Schizosaccharomyces pombe: one gene and its partner. Changing the gene in region 2 together with the main gene of any one other region gives a genetic interaction. Each region holds a gene or a part of one and is shown on either strand. Other genes may lie near its edges. The genes, in order: ubp9 and wsp1.

Region 1 (9,630 bases), on a different chromosome or scaffold from region 2:
ATCCAAATATCTACCCTGGTAATATTGCTGGTTTCAAGACTATCCTCAGCAAGGAGGGACTTCGCGGTCTGTATACCGGTGGTATGCCCACCTTGATTGGTTATTCTCTTCAAGGCTGCGGTAAGTACGGTTTTTATGAGTTGTTCAAACACAAATACTCTACTTTGGTTGGTGCTCAAAAGGCACATGAATACCGTACAAGCATTTACTTGGCTGCTTCTGCCTCTGCTGAATTGTTGGCTGATATAATGCTTTGCCCTATGGAGGCTATCAAGGTCCGTGTTCAAACTTCCAACCCTCGTTTTGCCAACACCACTCGTGAAGCGTGGTCTAAAATTGTCACTAATGAAGGTTTCGGTACTTTATACCGTGGTCTGGCTCCTTTGTGGTTCCGCCAAATCCCTTACACCATGATGAAATTTGCTTCTTTTGAGCGCATTGTCGAAGCTTTGTACACCTACATTGGCAAGCCCAAGAACATGTATTCAAAGGCCGAAAAGATTGGTATTTCTTTTGCTGGTGGTTACATGGCCGGTGTTCTTTGCGCCATTATCAGTCATCCTGCTGATGTTATGGTTTCCAAGTTGAATTCCAACAAAAAGGCTGGTGAGGGCGCTGGCGCTGCTGCTGCTCGTATCTACAAGGAGATTGGATTTTCTGGTCTTTGGAATGGTCTTGGTGTTCGTATAGTCATGATTGGTACTTTGACTGGTGCTCAATGGCTCATCTACGATTCATTCAAGATTATGTGTGGTTTCCCTGCCACTGGTGCTTAAATGCACTATCGTATAGTAAACCTTTCATTTTATGGAACGTCGCTTTTTAAATTTCCCCCCACTTTCTCTTATAGGCTCTTAACAAGTTTTACTGTTTTATCAGTGTTTAAATTTATATGTAAATTTTGAACGTGTAGTTCCTTTTTCTGTAACTCTTAAGTGTTTTCAGGAGTATATATCAGCTTATGGAAGATGTGATTAGTATTTTAGCGTTTTCAACTAATGAAGTGAGTCATAAAAATTTGGGCTGTTGTGGGAATCGAACCCACGACCACCATCACCCTAAGATGGTATCATACCACTAGACCAAACGGCCAATTTGCATGTAAAGAGTAAGAGGAAATTATATTACAGATGATTTAGCAAGAAGTGTTTACAATATTAGATATGCAATAAGAGATTCAATTCATACAAATATTAATTGACTTCTTAATCCTGGTTCCATTAACTATTTAAATCGCAATTGACTAAATTGCGATTATACAGTTGACATAATATAATTTGTTCGACAACTCATGTGTAGTACTGTGTTAACTATTCGATGTTAAACCTTCATTGGCTTCTGTAGTGTTTTGTTTTTATCAATATTCCTCGCATTAATCGCTTTGATGTTAAATTTATTAACCTTGAATAAATACTACATTAACAAAATTTCGTATATAGCTTACAAAAAGAATAATGCATTTCGATTACCAAAACGTAAATCAGGTCTGATTGTTATATTAAATTTGGATTGTCATTGTACATTGATACTTTTCATTGTTAAAAAATTAATTCTATTATAACTTGTTATTTCAATTAGAAGAAGGGTCGATCAACTATTATTAATTATTGTTAAATCCTAAGTTCCCTAGTTTTTTAGCAAATAAACATGTAGAATTTAGGTTAAAAAAATTTTTCTCATTTTCAATTAAAAAATCTAATTTATATAAAGCTTTAAAATTGAAAATAAACACATATCCTGTTTTATCCGGAAAAGTTTACAAGATAGACTTAAATAATTATTAGATCGGAACCTCTTCATTGCTTAAGCATATAATTTAAACAATACTACAACCCTTAAAAAAAAAAAAAGTTGCCTTAAAACAATGGTTTCTATAAGGAACCAAATACTGTAACAACTTCAAGACCATTTTCAGAAAATACACTTAGCATCCAATTGTCCTGAAAATTGAACAAACTAAATTTTTTAAATTATAAAGCTGCTTTACATTAAGTCGATATGAATAAAAATAAAATGAAATAATGTATAATGAAATAAATAAAAATCTGTTAAAGAAAAGCTCTATATTGAAATATGCTATTCAAAGTATACTTAAGAAAATTGATAATATATGCATGGTAAATAGTATCTTTAAGAAAACAACAAGTAAATTTTGCAGTATCATGATTAATAATATTAACAATTCTAAGCACACTAATTACCTTAAATTCATGCTAAGACAAGGAGTAAGATAATCTTAATCGATTAATTTGTCACAACCAAAAAATTTCGAATTCGATGTATGAAGGTTGCCGTTCAAATTGGGAACAACGAGAAGAAATAGCAGATAAGCTACTTTTAGGAGTTTAAAGTCATAAATTTTCAATTATAAAAAGACATAATAGCAAAAATTGAATACCGCAACAGATAATTACGAAGACCAATCACTGTAGTACGCGTGTGTTAAAAATGAAACCTCGAGCGGTAAACAATATTATAAAAACCAGAAAAAGGCCAAAAGGTATAAACACAGAGAAATAACTGAATTCAAAGAATTAAAAAAGTGACATATGGATAAATAGAGCGCATGACTTTCAAAGTTGGCCAAAATTTCCAAATAAAGTCAAAAATATAAAGTAAAACGATGAGAGATGAAAACATTAAAAGAATTTCTCGAAAAGTGTAATAAAAAACACAAATAAGAATTCTTTACCTTTTGGAACGGCTTCTAGAGAATTGCCAAGGAAGCGTATGTGAGTGCTTCGACTCTGAATGTTCATCACTAGACTTGTGAGTATCCCTTAATGGTGAATCTTTAGGGGAGTTGCTTTGGGATGATCCAAAAAATTTACTTCTTTTTCGTGTAAGGGAAGGGAAAAACGAACGACTTTCGCGACGTACGGCTTTTGGAGAAGCATCAACAGATCTTGAATGAAATCTTTCTGCATCCAGTGATGGTTCACGATCAAAATAAGAACGGCTATTGATGTCTCTATCTAAAGTTTTATGAGAATACTGCGAAGAAAATGAAGCAACCATCGGATCCATATCAGGATATGTTATTGTCGAGTTTGATCTAGGGGTACTTGATAGATTCGAAACTTCCACGCTTTCTTGTTTAAGTTGACTTGGAATAGACATCGGCTTAATTGATTCCTTGGTGTCTACTTCACTAACATCATCATCTTCTTCATCAGCAGCAGTATAAAATAGAACATAGGCAGTAGCCTGACCAGGTTGATCACCAAAAAATCGTTGTAGGTAATTCTCGTTGACAGGAGTTACGTTCTCGTCATCAAAAAGGACCCAGCCATAAGTTTTAGTGCGAACGATAGACACATAATGACCACGATGTGGACCGCCTCCTACGTGAACAATAACAGAGGAAAGATAATACATTCTTTCAGCATTCTCTGCATCTTCGGTGGTAGTAAATAATCTCATTTCGTTGGTAAAAACAATAGTATAGAAGAGTTTATCATGGCCCTCCTGGGTTTCGTTATATTTAAAACGTTTCAAATGTAATGAGAGGATTTTCGGTAATTTTTTTATCTTCATTCTTTTTTCTGCTTCCTGCAAACTTTTGCAAACATCACAATGAAACTTATTTTTGGAGGACAACATCTCTGAAGCAGAAAAAGACCTTAAACAGGAAGTTACAGAAGTGTGATTTTCTATATCTATGCTAAGGTCTAAAAAGCTTTCATCCCTTGACGTTATGTTTTCACAAGTTAAACATTTCGTCTCGCTGGTAAGCGTTCCTTCAAACAAAGAATGAACCCATTTTGGATGCATCACGTCGGAATGATTACCGTAGTATTCATCAAGAGTTTCTGTAACAGAATTAAGAAGAAAATTAAAAAACTCGTGAGCATCTTGCTGCTGAGTACTGCGAAAAGCTTCATTGTCTCTACGTAGAACTTGGATAAAACGCTCGGGAGAACAAATACCATAACGACAATCACAGCAACTTACGGAGCAATAAAGATCCTTTAAACAAGTATATATGTTTTCTTTCATTCCATAAGCAGAACAATTGCTTTCGCCTACAACGATTTGATGCTTCGTCCCGGATTCAGAGCCGACGTTACTAATATCGACACAGCCGCAAGAATTTATACCATTGGACCCGTATAAAGAGGACTTCCTATTCTCCATGCTCTTTTTCTTACTGTGTCGTGAGGAAGATGATTCAGGATGGTTGGTTTTTGTACAAACGCTTTTAAAATTTGGAGGAGCACTCGGAAGAGGATACGAATTTAAAGAATCACGAAAGGGCTTTAAATGGTATAAAGATACTAAGACAGAACTCACGTAACTATTTCGTTAGAAATTTACAATCATAAAAGCAACGCTACAAGTATGATCGCCATACCATGTATTTCCATACTAAAAATATGTTAGAGCAGAAGAAATTATAACTAATAAAAATGCTTACATTTGTTAAACCATAGAATCGATCTGTTAGGGTTTCAGGGCGAATTGATGGCTTCGGCAACTCTGCTTCCCAAGTGCTTTTACGCCGGTCAGTGGAGCCTGGGGAATTCTATAGTTTGTCAGTCTTCAATTCATAACTAACAATTGAATTACCATTCCCATCCAACGAAGCAGCGACATGCTGAGTTGAACTAAAGGATGCTAAGTTTACAAACCAAGCACAGCGGGGAAGTGAACGCAAAGGGAAGCTTTCACGCGCTCAGAAAGGGGCGTACGTTGGTGATCATAATCTTAGGCTATTATTATATTAACAGCCAACTATCTAAAATAACGAAGTGCAATGTATTGTAAAATGAGCGATAAAACTCAGTAGATATTAAGTCAAAAAAGCTATAAATAAACCGTAACTAATTTTGGAAATGTGATCTGGTTAAACGAAGTATCAAATGTACAATAAATTAAAAGAAAGTAAACATCAGTTTGGTGAAATGGGAACAGATGAATTTCTGCAATGTATCAAAATTTACTCATTAATGCAAGTTATGTGTAATCGTAGTATTCACCATCCACTAACCTGTAGAAACCGATTTGGTGTTAGAAGATGGAGGATGATCTGCCTTTTCTGAGACTGTTTCACGTGGGATTTCCTTTGAAGGAGTGGCTTCTGCTTGCTCGTTCTGACTTGGCGTGTTTTGACGAAGAGTATGGAGCTCACGTTCAACTTTAAGAATGACTTTGTGGAGTTCGTCAAAATCCTTTTCGGTACTATCAATTTCCTCAGTCGAAGATTGGAGTTCATTCTTTTTCTTCTGTAAAACAAACTGCTTTTCCATGATTTCGTTAATACGAACGATTTCATGTTGTAAACCAAGAATCGCTTCAGCAACTTCATCTCGTCTATTCTTTTCCTTTCTACGAGCCCTCCATGTTTCAAATAAAATGGCTCCTCCAGCAACAGTACTGTAAATTGTTAGCAAGAGAAGAACATTGTGACAAGTTGGATTTCGTAGCTCCTTCACAATGTGCCGTATTAAGCATTGTGGAGAGGAAGTACGTCAAATCGTATTAATTTTCATACAATATAAAAGTTTCTGATAAAAATGTTGCACCAGCATCGACTGCTTTGGCATCGTTTAAAGGTCGTAATCGTACATTAGCTCCTCCACTTTTAGCTCTGTTAATTCCTGTTATTCTAAATTCCGCGCGATGCATCCATTGAGCAAATTCAATACATGCCTATATAGAAATTTCGTTAGTAATGCTATAAGATTCTCTTTATCATCTATTTTACTGATTTATACCTTTCGGAAAGCCTTGTGCTCTTTAGCTTGGGCTTTGATTGTATTGGCAATCGGTTTGGATAATGTTCTTACTAACAAGCTTCCGATTTTTAAGGCTAGAGAAGACATTGGATTGTAGAGAAATGTTAATGGATACCAGAACTTCAAAAATATTCGAGGGGGAATAAACCCGCAAAGGATTTCAAATTACCGACTAAAAGTACTACCACCTCAATTAAATAGAGGTATAAAAGAAAGAAATCTCCGATAAAATTAGAATGCAGATATAAGCGTGTAACAATAGCTAGGATATTTATGCAAGGTCGAAGATATACTCTTCCGTTAATCAATAGCAATATTTAAAACCGCAACACCAAGTGCGTGCTTTATTTTTTTAATCTATTAATTAGAAAAGTTATTGGAAGAGGAAAGTAAATTTGATGTTGCTGAACTTGATATGCATATTCTGTCGGTTTCTCTGATTGGTTTACTAATCCTTCTTACACCGATCCCTGTGTGTGCTTAATATTTTGCTTGTATTAGAAACTTTAGTGTCGCAGTTATCAATACTTGTCCTTAGTAGTACAGTTGTATTTTCATTTCTTAATGTAACGTACATACCATTCAACCTTTGACTTACTATTATATATTTGATTTTTAGTTAATGACTTTTGTTAGCGAACCGTATGTTATGCAAATAGTTCCAAGCAACTATAGTTTTAGGGAATACTGTAAAGTGCTAGTTAATGAGCAATACGCGTATTATACAACGTTTACAACAGTTTATCATATCACGCTACAAAATAAAGTACATAAGACTAGCAGTTTTCTACATAGCTTTGCTTAAGATTTTAAACTACCGTTGATAAAAGGGAAACGTAGCATGCATCCAAACCTACAAATAACTTTCTATAAGTATCGTAAAAACTCAGAAAGTAGATACCTAATATTAGCAGTTCACCGTCAGCGAATGAAACTCACAAAAGGAATGACAGCGAAGTACGTAAAACGTATGTATATAAAAATATATTAAAAGCGCATTCAGAGGTATAACCAACAAACATGTAGTTTAGCAGCAGTTGCTGGAACTTTGGGAAACGTTAGTGCCCTGACCAACCTTGACACTAGATTTGGCATTGGAAGAGGCAAATGTATTATTTCCCATACGTTCCTTAATTTGACGGGACATAGTTAAGAAAGCTTGCTCAACATTTGTAGAATCTTTAGCAGACGTTTCGAGGAAAGGAATATTCAAACTGTCAGCAAACTCCTTAGCAACAGAATATTCAACAACCTTCTTATCAACCATATCTGACTTGTTTCCTACAAGAAGACGATTGACTCCTTCAACGGCATATCTATCTATTTCCTGAAGCCATTGCTTAACATTGTTGAAAGAATCTAAGAAGCAAGCATTAGCCTCGGAACCGCGTCGGAAACAATGTGAAGACTAGAAAACGCCATAAAAATATCCCCCAAACGCCTTATAACGCATATACGCGCATATACAGAAAACGGAAGACAATCAAATTGGTTTTCCATACTTCACACATTACATACCTTGATCGGTAACATCGTATACGATGATAATTCCATGAGCTCCACGATAGTATGAGCTAGTAATTGTACGGAAACGTTCTTGACCAGCGGTATCCCACTATGATAAATCGTTAATAAAAAAATATCCCGGAACGCCAACGAGAAGTAAACTATCACTTACGATTTGAAGTTTAACAGTCTTTCCCTCTAATTCAAAAGTTCTGATTTTCTAAAAAAAGTTAGCAATAAATATGGTTAAGCTGCTTGAAAACGGACGTACAAAATCAACTCCGATAGTAGAGATATAGGATTCAGTATAAGTGTCATCGGCAAAACGTAGAAGAAGGCAACTCTTACCGACACCAGAGTCGCCAATAAGTAAAAGCTTAAAGAGATAGTCGTATCTATTAATATTAGCATTCATCTTCTTACGGTAAAAAAACTCATTACCTATTGATTAGCAATTATATCGCCCAATTTACAAGAATTCTTTAATTTTGGAAAGAAAATACTCTATAAATTGTTAATTTCTAGCTCCTGATGTATTGAATAGTATGCTAAATCCTTACTACTCTGGATTCATCGTATATGCACAGTAATGGCGGACGTTCTGTTGCTCGCTTCAGTCTACGCATATACCAACGCAGCGGAGTGGGGGACCCTACAGCCCAAAGAATGCTCACGGGCAAATCTTTTACTATCATGCTGCTAATTATATTAAGTATCGTTATTTCGTTTAGCGTATCTTAACTTTCCGTAGTATTTCATATGTTTTCAAAACAAATATATTATATGTGCAGACAAAGGCTTCACTCAAGTTAATTAATATAAAATTATAACTTTTTGTAGTTTTTACAGTCAATCTTAAATTGTAAATATACTTAACTAAAATCCATACTGTACAAACGAACGCCAAAATCGCGACTACAATAGTACATACTTCCTTAAAAACAGAGAAAATAATATGTCATAACGGAAAAAAAAATACTTGAAAAAGTAAGAGTAACAAAAACATGAGTCTTTTCTAGATTTTGATGACAGTTAAGTACGGAAACATGTATATTTATGTCAAGACTGTAGAGTTGCCAACATTAAAGTAAGGGGTTCAAATTAGAAGAGGTATAGATATAATAATGTACAACATAAAGAAAATTAATAAAATGAGATATAGCTCGGATTTGCGAATCGCTTTAAGATAAGGTAACCGGAACGAATTAGATTTATGACCAATCTTGAAGGGGTCGTATTCATGAAATAACAAGCAGCTAAAAGCACCAAAGAATTCTTAAAGAGTAACTAATTTGTTAAGATAAGAACTTCCAAAAGAATATATTGCACACTTACCTTTATACAGTTTCGAGATATTCGAATAAGAGCGTTAATAGATGACATGAAAAAGAACCGATTTTTTTGATACTTTTGCAAAATCAATTGTTCTGACATCGCAGTAATTTCTAGATGAATTCGCTGTAATGCTGATTCCATAGCAGCAACTCTGTTCTGTTGTTGCTTTAATATTGATAATTGTAGTTGAACGTTTTGGTTAACTGCAACGAAAATTAAATTATCTGGATTCTTCTTAACAATGGTTTGAGATTTGTTTGGTTCTATAGTTAACTGAGACGTGATAGGAGATATTTTGTTAGAACGGTCAACAGTTTGTGTACTATCAGAAACATCTGCAGGGATAAATTCCGTTGCTTCAACTTTTCCTTGTAACACTATTTCCCATAGCTGCTTAGTAGTAATAAACGAAGATTTTGGCATGATCATACTCGCCGTATTCGCAAGAACCTGATTATCCTGCATGCCTACAAAAAAAACGCATTTCAGGCTCTGACAAGTATGATGAATTACAAAAATAAAATAAGAAGCTTCTCCAAATATCTTATAAAACACAGAAACAAATGTTTTTGAAGATTTAAGAGAGTCGTGGTAGAGGAGGTATGAATTAACAAAAGAACTGTCAGTAAGTATTCAGTCAACTAAGGAATACATATCTGAAAACTTGCGCGCAATGTAAAATAGGTAAATCAATCAATATTTTTAACAATATCAGCAAGTTTAAGTGCATAAAATGGTTTTACGCCATCGTTGAACCTATATTTTAATTTTAAACAATTGTCATCATAAATTGTATTGGAAAATTTTTTTAATACTTAACTTCTTACTGAACATTTGGATATTTCTTAGATATACAATTAACTCAAGCTATTAATTCATTTAATATTAACATGAATTTTGATTACCTAGTATATATATTATATTCTATAAAATTGATAACCGATTTATAACACGAGTCAGATTAATATTGATAATATTGTGAACCTCACTAACAAAGCTTTTACTAACTATAAATATTAAGTCGTATTAGTCAAAGTAATGAGTTTAAAAA
Region 2 (9,577 bases):
GTTTTGAACAGTTACAGGTGATAGAGGAACCAAGAAGGGTTCCAACTGGTTGCCCACCTGACGAATAAAAAAGGCAAGAGAGTAATACTCTTCTTCTTCTAGCCTCTTTATTGGCAAGCCAAGAGGAAAATAACCAGCTCTATACCATTGATGCATATCTACTCCAGTAAAGGGGCCTTGGACATTATTTTGAGGGTCTTTATAAAGCCAATGCAGAAGAGCGGGAGGAATTAACGAAGCCAAGTGCTGAGGAAACGCCTCCGAAGAAAACATAGCTGTAGAGGGAGACATAGCAGCCGCAGGACTATTGACAGCAGAATGCTCACGTTGAGATGCGCTTGGTGCAACAGGTTGGGACGCGTTCTCTTTAATAGATGCTTTAGCTTTGGCCTTATCAACAAGAATATTTAGTGGAGAATCAGTGTCTCTAATACTCATTGAATTTCCCACTGGAACGTTGGAATTAGTGGGAAATCGAGATGGACCTCTGCGTAGTGGGGACTGAGAGAAATCTGCGAGATTATCAACCTGTCCAACAGGAGAAGCCACGGATTGTGTTAAACCTGCAGATATTCCATTTGATGATCCAGAAGGATGGTAAGCAGAGCTTGATAGAATTTCAAGAGAATGAGTATTAGCTGAAGCAACATTCGGTTCCCCACCTGGTTGATTGCTTGAAGAAGTGTTCAAGTCAGGAAAAGTATCAGAACCAGCACGCTGCGGCTGTTGCAAAGTCCCAACACCGGGATTCATATTACCAGAAACCGCTGAGCGACTTTGAGAAAATGAAGAAGGGCTGCGATCTAATACAGGACGATTGATATGATTAAAAGGGCTCCCCAGTTTGGGAGAAGCTGTGCCCGTTGTTATAGAATTCGAGGATGGAAAACAATCCCTTAAAAATCCAGGAGATATGCCCTCATTAGAAAAAGCGTTTGTAAAAGAGGTGTTGGCATTTTTAGAATTAAACAAATTGGTAGACATATCAAAGGTGCTACTTGGATTATTTGCAACAACTGGATTTTTATAAAAAGGAGAACCACCATTTGAAACAATGGCTGGGTTTGCTGATGAGGTTGTTGACGATACTGTAGGATTTTTGCTAGTCAATTCAGAAGGTGCATTTAAAGAGTCCCACATATTGCCACTTTTTAAAGACAGTTTTCTTTGTGAATCCAATTTTGCAGAAACAGAAGGGTCAATATGAGACGATGTAGGAGAATCCACTCCATTTGTGGCAGTAGGTTTAGTAAAAGATGTTAACTGAGGAAAAGCACCAGTTGTTGAAGAACTCGAGTTATTTGCTTTTTTATGTAACGAATGTGCCAGCTGGCTCCTACAAAACATAAGTTGTTAGTACAAGGCAATTTGAAACTCAAAGTATTTCAAGCGTATCAGAAACGCAATTTTTTGAAAATCGTAAAATGTGGTAAATCCCAGGAAAAAAACTTACCAATCCATATTACTAAATACACTTGCTTCTGAATTCATAATTTTAGCACTTTCTCTCTTAAAGTAAAAAATCCTTGTTATCTTTTAACAACCAGCAAATCTGTTTGTTGTAAAGGTTTTAGGTGGAAAAACGTAACAATAACGCCGTTGCAATAAATAACGACAAATACAGCTGAGCGGGGGTAGCGGCGACAATCGTGTGGGGGAGATGCACTTACTGTGGAACGTGGGTGTTCTGCAATAATTGCCTACCACGCCGCATCGAAAATTTAGTTTATTGAAATTAGCGATTCCTATTAACAATACGAAGTAAATGCTTAACGTAGGCTAATTTCCGCAATTCTTGAATAAGTCCAAACCATCTTTAAAAAGATTATTGCCAAGCTTACTTATAAGGAAAATGACAGCAAAGATTTTTTAACCAAATTAATCAAAGAAAACTATATATTGAAAATGGTTGAATTGTATAACCTTAACAAGTACAAGAGAGACCTCTTGTACCTTGCCAACGTGCATTTACAAAGCGTCAGTATATCCCTCGCTTACTGCACTTAAATTTGCTAAAATCTTTATCTTACGAATTACATAATTACGATTTTTCAAATTACTGATAATACCATAGTCACTTTACATATATTAGCACCCAAATCTTGAGTCAAAAATCCGACATGAAATATTTTGTTGCTTATTTAATCTTGTTCGTCAAACTTTTCGACAAGGTCAGGAATTTCTCCATCGTCGGCTTGTGCATCAGCTCCCTTTTCACCTTCACTGACCTTTAATTGCTCAGCCATTTGACGAAGGGCAGTCAAGGATTCAGGACCAAGGTTGTTCAAAATGCCAGGCAAAATCTCAGACAAAGTCTTTTCCTCTGCTTTACCATAGATAGCTGTAGTTTCATTAGGAAGCGAGGAATGAACGGTAGGTGCACGGAAATTAATGACTCCGCCATCTTCCTTGAACATGTTAACCTCTTGGATGCCAGCAAGGTTTTGCATATTCAACTTTTTCAAGGCACCTTGAACCTTCTTGTCATCAGCAGCACTCATGGCAGACTTAGAAGGCTTCTTCACCTTACGACGAGGGGTACCCTTTCCACCTATACAATGATAAGTTAATTAAGCAGTTCTCTATGAAAAAAGTACAACTGTGTTTTCAATAGCCAGCATCAATTACAGTGGAACCACTTTGAAACCGTTCAAGGCATTTCTTAGAGCTGGTGTCAACTTCAAAACACGGGGATGCATTCGAACATACCAATACGAGCGCCAGCCTGCAACTTAGCCAATTTGGAGGGATCCATTTGTTTCTATTTGACCAAACGTTTTTGGTTGTGGAAGGACTTGAACTTGACGTTTCTAAAGTTGTGGTACCGAAATGTGTGACTGCTCCCATACTTACAATAAAGTAAAGATACACACTGTGTTGCGATATATGAATAGTAATATCAACACAAATTCGCGTTATTCAATTTAGAATAAATGGTGTTTGCTCTAATACAATAAACACAAATCCAAATAAAAATAGTGAAGTCGTTTAACAAAACTTTAAAAGACTGTGTGAATCAAAAAAGTATAGGTAATTTCAAAGATATTAATAACTAGTCCCACTCATCGTCGTCTTCATCCTCTTCGTCTGAAAGAATTAGTAAACTTAAGAACTTTTGAAAAAAAATACGAGAAATCCGGACATACCACTCTGAGCGACTTTGGTTTTACGTTGGTTCAAAGCGCTTGCCAATGCATCCATAAGATTGTTAGAAGGGGGTGCTTCTACCGGAGGATTCGAAGTTTTTGTAGATGCGACACTAGGAGAAGCAGATACTTTCTGGAAAATATTAGTACGAGTAACCATTAAGTAATAATATCAATACTTACCCTGCTTTTCAGTAAATCCATACCACCGCTGGCTCTGATACTGGCCATTAAATTAGCACGGCCGTCTTGTTGAGGCAATTCAGCTATCGAAGCAACAGGCGCGGCGGGCGCAGGAGCTGGAGCTGGAGGAGGAGCTGGTGCAGCGGGAGGCAATGGTGGAGCAGCTGGCATACCAGCGGGTAGAGGAGGAGCAATTGGTGCACTAGGTGGTAGGGGGGGAGCAGCTGGTGCGCCCATAGGTAGAGAAGGTGGTGCACTGGGGGGCAAAGATGGAGGTGCACTAGGAGGAAGAGAAGGAGGTGTAGGGACAGGAGGTGTGCTTGTTCGTGATGCATTACCAAGAGGGGGAAGTGCAGGCGCAGAACGACCAGGAATAGCTGGAGGAGGGGCTGGTGGGTTTGAAACTGCACGAGATGAAGATAAAGGGGGTGGTTGTCTCCCAGTGGAAGGAGCAGACCTTGGAGGAGGTGGAGGAGGAGCAGATCTACCTTGAGGCGGCAAAGGAATTGAGCCAGCAGCATTAGATCTAGGAGGTGGTGGAGGTGGAGGAAGAGACGAGTTAGAAGAACCATTACCAATCGGTGGTTTACCACGATTACGACGGGATGGAGGCGGAGGCGGAGGAGGTCGTTTTTTGTTAGCAGCTAGAGCTGCCGCACTGACTCTTGAAGATGGTGGAGGGAGTGGAGGTTTCGAGGTGGAATTAATAGCAGGATTCATCGAAACAGGAGCGATAGGACGGGGAGGGGAGTTAGGAGGAGAAGAGACAGTTCCATTAGATGGAGGTGGAATTGGGGGAGGAGCAGGTGCAGACAAAGAAGGAACACGCTCTGGGGGACGAGAGGAAGGAATGCTTGGAGGGATGGGAGGTGCAGAAGTACTGGTAGGTGTACCAGCTGATTCATTAAGGTACGCTTTGACGAAATCTGCGTTTTCAGCAATTTGATCCTGGGAAATGCCCATCTTCATTAGAGAATCAATTAAGCTCGGATCAAGCGAATTTAAAAGCTCGGGCTCATTGGGACTTTTAGATCCAACAGCATTATAATTTTCCTTTCCAGGTACAGGAGGAGCAGCTGAGGGAGGTTGGATATTGCTGTTGTTAGGCGCATGTCTAGAAGAACCTTTTCTGGTAATAAATGACAAAACCGGATTCTCAATTGATTCAGGATGGCAACCTTTATCTAAAACCTTTTTGTAAAATTTTTGAGCGTCTGTCTCGTTTGCAAAACTAAAACCTGCTAGGCATTTATCAAGCTCGAAAGAATGAAAAAATGTACGATCTTGGCGATAGTCCATATTTTGATAAAGCTCTTGGTCCCATATTATACCACTATTATTCTAAAACGTTAGAAGGTTATAATTCAATTAAATTGTATACCACTCTTTGTAGTTTGCTTTGAGTATCAAAGCTTCATACACATACCACAACGTCAACCAGTTTAAACCAACAGCATTTTGCTGTTGTATCATAGGACAATACAAGAGCACCACAAAGACCTGTATAATTCCATTTGTTCGGATCAGGATAAGCTACATATAGCTTGACGACGGCTGCTGCAATGATTTTATTTGTGCTTTTAGGTATGTATTTACGGATAGTTGCCTTATCCTCTTGAGTTATAGAGGAAGATGGAGGCATTTGAATTTTCGGATTGTAATGCAATTCAAAAATTGCTGTCTCACAGTGGTATAAGTGGTGTTTTGGTTCCTCCCGTTTGTTAGCATTTTCACTGTAGTTAACAAGCCAATGAGTGATAATTAGTGTAGTATACTATACTACGCTATGTACTATAAAAATTTGCAACGCACTTATTAGCAGCTGGTAAATTTTGCTAATTATATTAACTGTTTATAGATTAATAAAACTTGAGACATTAATTCGGGTTTAATATTTTTTACATTCTACATACTTATCGTCCTCATTGTAAAGAGGTAAATAAAATTTATTCAACCATACGAAGTTTGCTTGTCTCATAATGTTAGTTTATTATAAGATTATTAAAAAAATGACTTAATCATAATCATTAATTATTAGAAAAAAAAGGGAACATTAAGAAAAAGTCATTCGTGATGTTGAGGATAATAAAAAGACTCTCGTCCGGTAGGAGTAGTATAACTACATAAACAAACAGTGCGAACTCAGATGTATGGCTACTTATTAGAATCATCGAATGAAACTGAAGTAACAATACCGGAATTTTTTTTCGAACTTAATGGGTCGTTACATTGTTCGCACATTTCTATATCTGTTGCAAATGATGAACTACTGCTAGTCTCATCATCTGACTTTGCACAAAGTCGTCTCCGTAAAAGGTCAATATCTCTAGGATAAAACAATTTTTGTAAGCAAATATAGGAAAAGCGAGGCAACAAACATAAGGCAATGGTTAAAACAGTAACACACCAAAAGCCAAAAGTTTGACAAGTTCGCGAAGCTGATTTGTGGAAAGCGTAAGAGGGGCCAACTTCTGAATAAATAAATGTCCATATCCAAAATACACCTATGCTGAACATCCAAGTAATAAGTGATATTAAATTCAATCTCTCTTGATTCATCAATATAAAAATGTTGATTACAAAAATAGTAGGAGAGGATATAAAAAGTCCTATGTCTTCTATACACTCGATGTTCCTTCCAGTCCAACTTACAAAATCACCAAACTTAAAAACAAATAGAGCTACCCCAAAGCATACCAATGATTGATATATTCCATCTAGCATGTAAGACCTAAAATAAATATTTAGCAAACAGAAATCTTCAGAGTTATACTTACCAAAATCTCTTTCCGTTCCATTCTAGACCTAAAATTCCCCGTTGGTATAAGCTTGGATTTTTCATTGAAACAGATGCGTCAACGTCCTGGTCAAAACAACCTGCAATAATTACGGGTAGTGATGTGAACAGCAGATTAAAAAGCATCACGTAGGTATAATCAAATATGTAGTTTCCATCAAACTCGTTATAAAATTGATACCAAAAAAGTATAAATGTCCAAATAACATTTTTGTAAAAAAAGAATGAAATCATTTGAGACATTCTTTTATAGTCCCATCGTCCATGAACTAGAAGTAGTCGCCCTAGGAAAGAAAATTGACCGATGGCATAATCCGCCGACATTGAAGCTGCTTGCCCTTCAACGCCTTTTATCCCTACTCCAACGTCGGCTTCTTGAATCATCGAAACATCATTAGCGCCATCTCCAATTGCTAAAGTGACAACATTTAGACTCTTCTTGACTAAAGCAACAACAGCTGCCTTCTGAGAGGGACTAACCCTGCAGCACAAAACTGTCTTACACTGCTTACATAACATTAAAAAAAGAAAAGAGACCTGTTCAGACAAAACAAAGTTCAGGGCATCCCCATCAATAACTATGGCGTGTTTCGGAGATGGCGGACTGTGGTCTTTCAACAAAAATCTGAATTCTTCATCCGTTCCCATGTATCCAAAATTAAAGCATAATGTGTTTCTAATAAAAGCTTCTACTTCTTCTAAGGCACCGAAAGAGTTTGCATCAATTCGAAAAATAGTCATGTTTGGATCAAGAAGATTGCATGAATACCCAATGTTGATTGCCGTTTCTACCTTATCACCAGTCAACACCCACAACTTAATTCCAGCAATAGCCAAAAGAGCGATAGTTTCTGGTACATTCTCTTGAAGTTTATCTTCAATTGCTGTTCCACCGAGTAATTCAAGCTCTTGCTCAATCATCTCTGAAACTTTACTGACCTTTTCGTTCCGTTCATGAATGGCACTATTAGCTTCGTTGAAATTCACTTTCCATTCAAGATAATCTTGCTTATCAATAGTTCGACGAGCGATACATAACGTACGAAATCCTTCGGATGAAAATGAAGCTAAATGCTTCTTCGTCTTTTCAATGATATTGTTTTGTCCGCTGGAAAGCCTTGGAAATATTACCGTATCCGCACCTTTACAAATTAAATGAATTATACCATCCTCATCACGAATTATCACGCTCATACGCTTTCTCGTAGAAGTAAAAGGGATTATATCCAAAACTCGAAAATTCTTATTTTCACCCCTAATGCGAATAGTATAGCGTCTGTTTTTTGTATTTAGAAGCGTAAACCCGAAATCACGAGCAACTTTCACTAATGCTTCTTCGTCTGGAGACTGAGCATTGTAAATAAGTGTTTCGTCTTGGACGTCTGTTACCACAGAATGGCAAAGAGCGAGTGCTTTAAAAAATTCGAAGCAGGCTTCAGTTTGAATATAATTTTCGTTGGATTGCAGATGGTCGACGAATTTACTTGAAATGAAAGTGATTGATTCTGGGTTAGGTGAGTCGCTTAAACTTAATGTCTCAAGCATTTTCTTTTTATCCAAGTCAACCTTGCATGATAAGTTTTCATTGTAATTTAAATTCCTTCGTTTTTTGATGCATGTATCTTCATTGTGACTTTTGCCATAGCGAATACCGTTAATTGAACATTTTTTAAAACTCATTATATTCTGAGTAAGAGTTCCGGTTTTGTCTGAAAATATGTACTCTATTTGTCCAAGGTCATCGGATATGTTCCACGATTTCGGAGAACAAGGACAGTCTAGTTTTTCATCATACATCTCTCGATCACTAAAAATAAAATAGGACTGTATGCTTCTAACAATGTCCATAGTGATATATAGAGAAATCGGCACTAAATTTTGAAAAAGAATGAGGGAAGTGAAAATGCTGATGATGCCATGCGCAGGAGCGGTGTTTGAATTTTTTGATAGCTCAAACACCCTTGCAGAGTTGTTCTGAGCTGAATAGATAGAGCGTAACACACCAGAAAATAAACACATAGCAAACAATAATAGAAAATTGAGAATTATTGTCCAATTCAAGTCACGAGTAATGCGACTTCGTTTAGAAGGAGTTAACCCTCGATTTTTCTGTATGCGAGTTTCTGATCCTGTATATAAAACAAGACCAATAACCCATTTTGAATTTCTCAGAGTACACCCACACAGTAGAACGTTAGAAATACTAAAAGGTTCTTCATGTATTTTTCTTCCGTTTGTACTCTCAGACGGTGATTGCACAGCGCCGGGTGCTTTGACGACACCGTTCAAACTGTACAGATCAGCATGAGGCTGTTCACATTCAACCCAAAAAGATGCCGCACTACACCTATACTCTGATTTACAGCATTTTGTTGAGCATAATGCGTATTTATCTTTCAAATTAGTTTCACCATCAAGGTTTTTTGTTTCCACATAGCAAACACCGTTTGAGTTTTCTGTGCTTAAGATGAGCAAGTCAGCAGGAATCGCTTCATCAGCCAAAACCTTAACGATATCGCCCACAAGCAAACTTTTCCTACACACACGCTCAAATTTGGCATTCGATGAGCCTGTTGATTGTTCCTGGATGACAGAAAAGCTGTTGGAAGGACCACTGTTACCAATCTCATGAATCTCAAGACTATCTTGTGAAACAGATGATAAAGTAAAGGCAGAGTCGGATTCGAGACTGTGCCTGTGGGATATATTATCCACGGTTAAGGTAGCGAGCCCAGATGAGATACCGGAATTTTTAAGGCAATAGGACATATCGGCGACGGTATGAGAAATAAATTTTTTTAATTTTCTCCATAATCCAATATGCTCGCCTAATGCATTGGCATTATTGAACCCTACCAATTTCCAAGTTAAGGTATTATTAAACTTCTTATCAAGAACACATCTCCGATAATCCTCAATTCCATCCTTAATAGCTGTAGTAAGCAAAATAACACTCAAAGGAATAAACGATAAGCCCAGGTGCTCGGGACAAAACAACGGAATACATTGAAGAAGAGTGACAAACAAAAAAAAAGCATTTGCTATGTTTTTAAATTGATTCCAAAGATTTTTGGGGATAAACGAAACTGGAGTATACTTGGTTGTGCGAATTTTATTACTAGGAAACCATTGCGATGGTAAATGCCTGTGTTCTTCTGGAATGCTAGTTACGTAAATTCTGCGAACAGAAGCATCTCCACTTTCGGTCCCAGCTTCATTCTTCTTTGATGTAACACGGCTAGTCCATGACTGATCTGAGTTGTTACACGAACCTTCAAAAGAGTTAGCTTCCTCATCATCCCTCGAACGTTGTTCCGCATGTGCTTCTTGTGAAAACTGGCTTTCGTGATGACGAGAAGAATAATCAGTTTGGTTTGTAGGTCCCTCATGAGCTAATGAGCCATTGTGCTGAGGTACATGGTGTAGATGATTAAAAGCACATATGGATAAG

What was found.
Region 1: mutations in wsp1 (region 2) and ubp9 are lethal when combined (synthetic lethality), as found in Schizosaccharomyces pombe (one study listed by BioGRID).

The regions. Positions count from the first base shown.
Region 1 is NC_003423.3:2,931,177-2,940,806, reverse strand, and holds ubp9 (ubiquitin hydrolase Ubp9), read right to left. Parts: upstream 4,656-9,630; 5' UTR 4,597-4,655; coding exon 4,570-4,596; intron 4,526-4,569; coding exon 4,418-4,525; intron 4,369-4,417; coding exon 4,355-4,368; intron 4,327-4,354; exon of another isoform or gene 4,298-4,326; coding exon 2,689-4,297; 3' UTR 2,045-2,688; downstream 1-2,044. Other genes in the region: SPOM_SPBC1703.13C (inorganic phosphate transporter), read left to right, coding at 1-776; mitochondrial outer membrane lipid metabolism regulator Opa3, read right to left, coding at 4,986-5,376, 5,495-5,652, 5,718-5,825; GTPase Ypt1, read right to left, coding at 6,766-7,097, 7,257-7,353, 7,417-7,464, 7,516-7,639, 7,808-7,818; SPOM_SPBC1703.09 (uncharacterized protein), read right to left, coding at 8,388-8,531, 8,580-9,044; fau1 (5-formyltetrahydrofolate cyclo-ligase), read left to right, coding at 9,618-9,630. UniProt on the Schizosaccharomyces pombe protein: Ubiquitin C-terminal hydrolase involved in regulating actin dynamics and/or endocytosis at cell tips and septa.
Region 2 is NC_003424.3:4,858,478-4,868,054, forward strand, and holds wsp1 (actin assembly factor), read right to left. Parts: upstream 5,031-9,577; 5' UTR 4,972-5,030; coding exon 4,756-4,971; exon of another isoform or gene 4,671-4,755; coding exon 3,330-4,670; exon of another isoform or gene 3,280-3,329; coding exon 3,147-3,279; exon of another isoform or gene 3,088-3,146; coding exon 3,053-3,087; 3' UTR 2,776-3,052; downstream 1-2,775. Other genes in the region: mpd2 (GYF domain protein), read right to left, coding at 1-1,336, 1,454-1,491; btf3 (nascent polypeptide-associated complex beta subunit), read right to left, coding at 2,142-2,551, 2,710-2,755; SPOM_SPAC4F10.16C (P-type ATPase), read right to left, coding at 5,484-6,060, 6,107-9,577. UniProt on the Schizosaccharomyces pombe protein: Has a role in regulating actin assembly, so regulating polarized growth.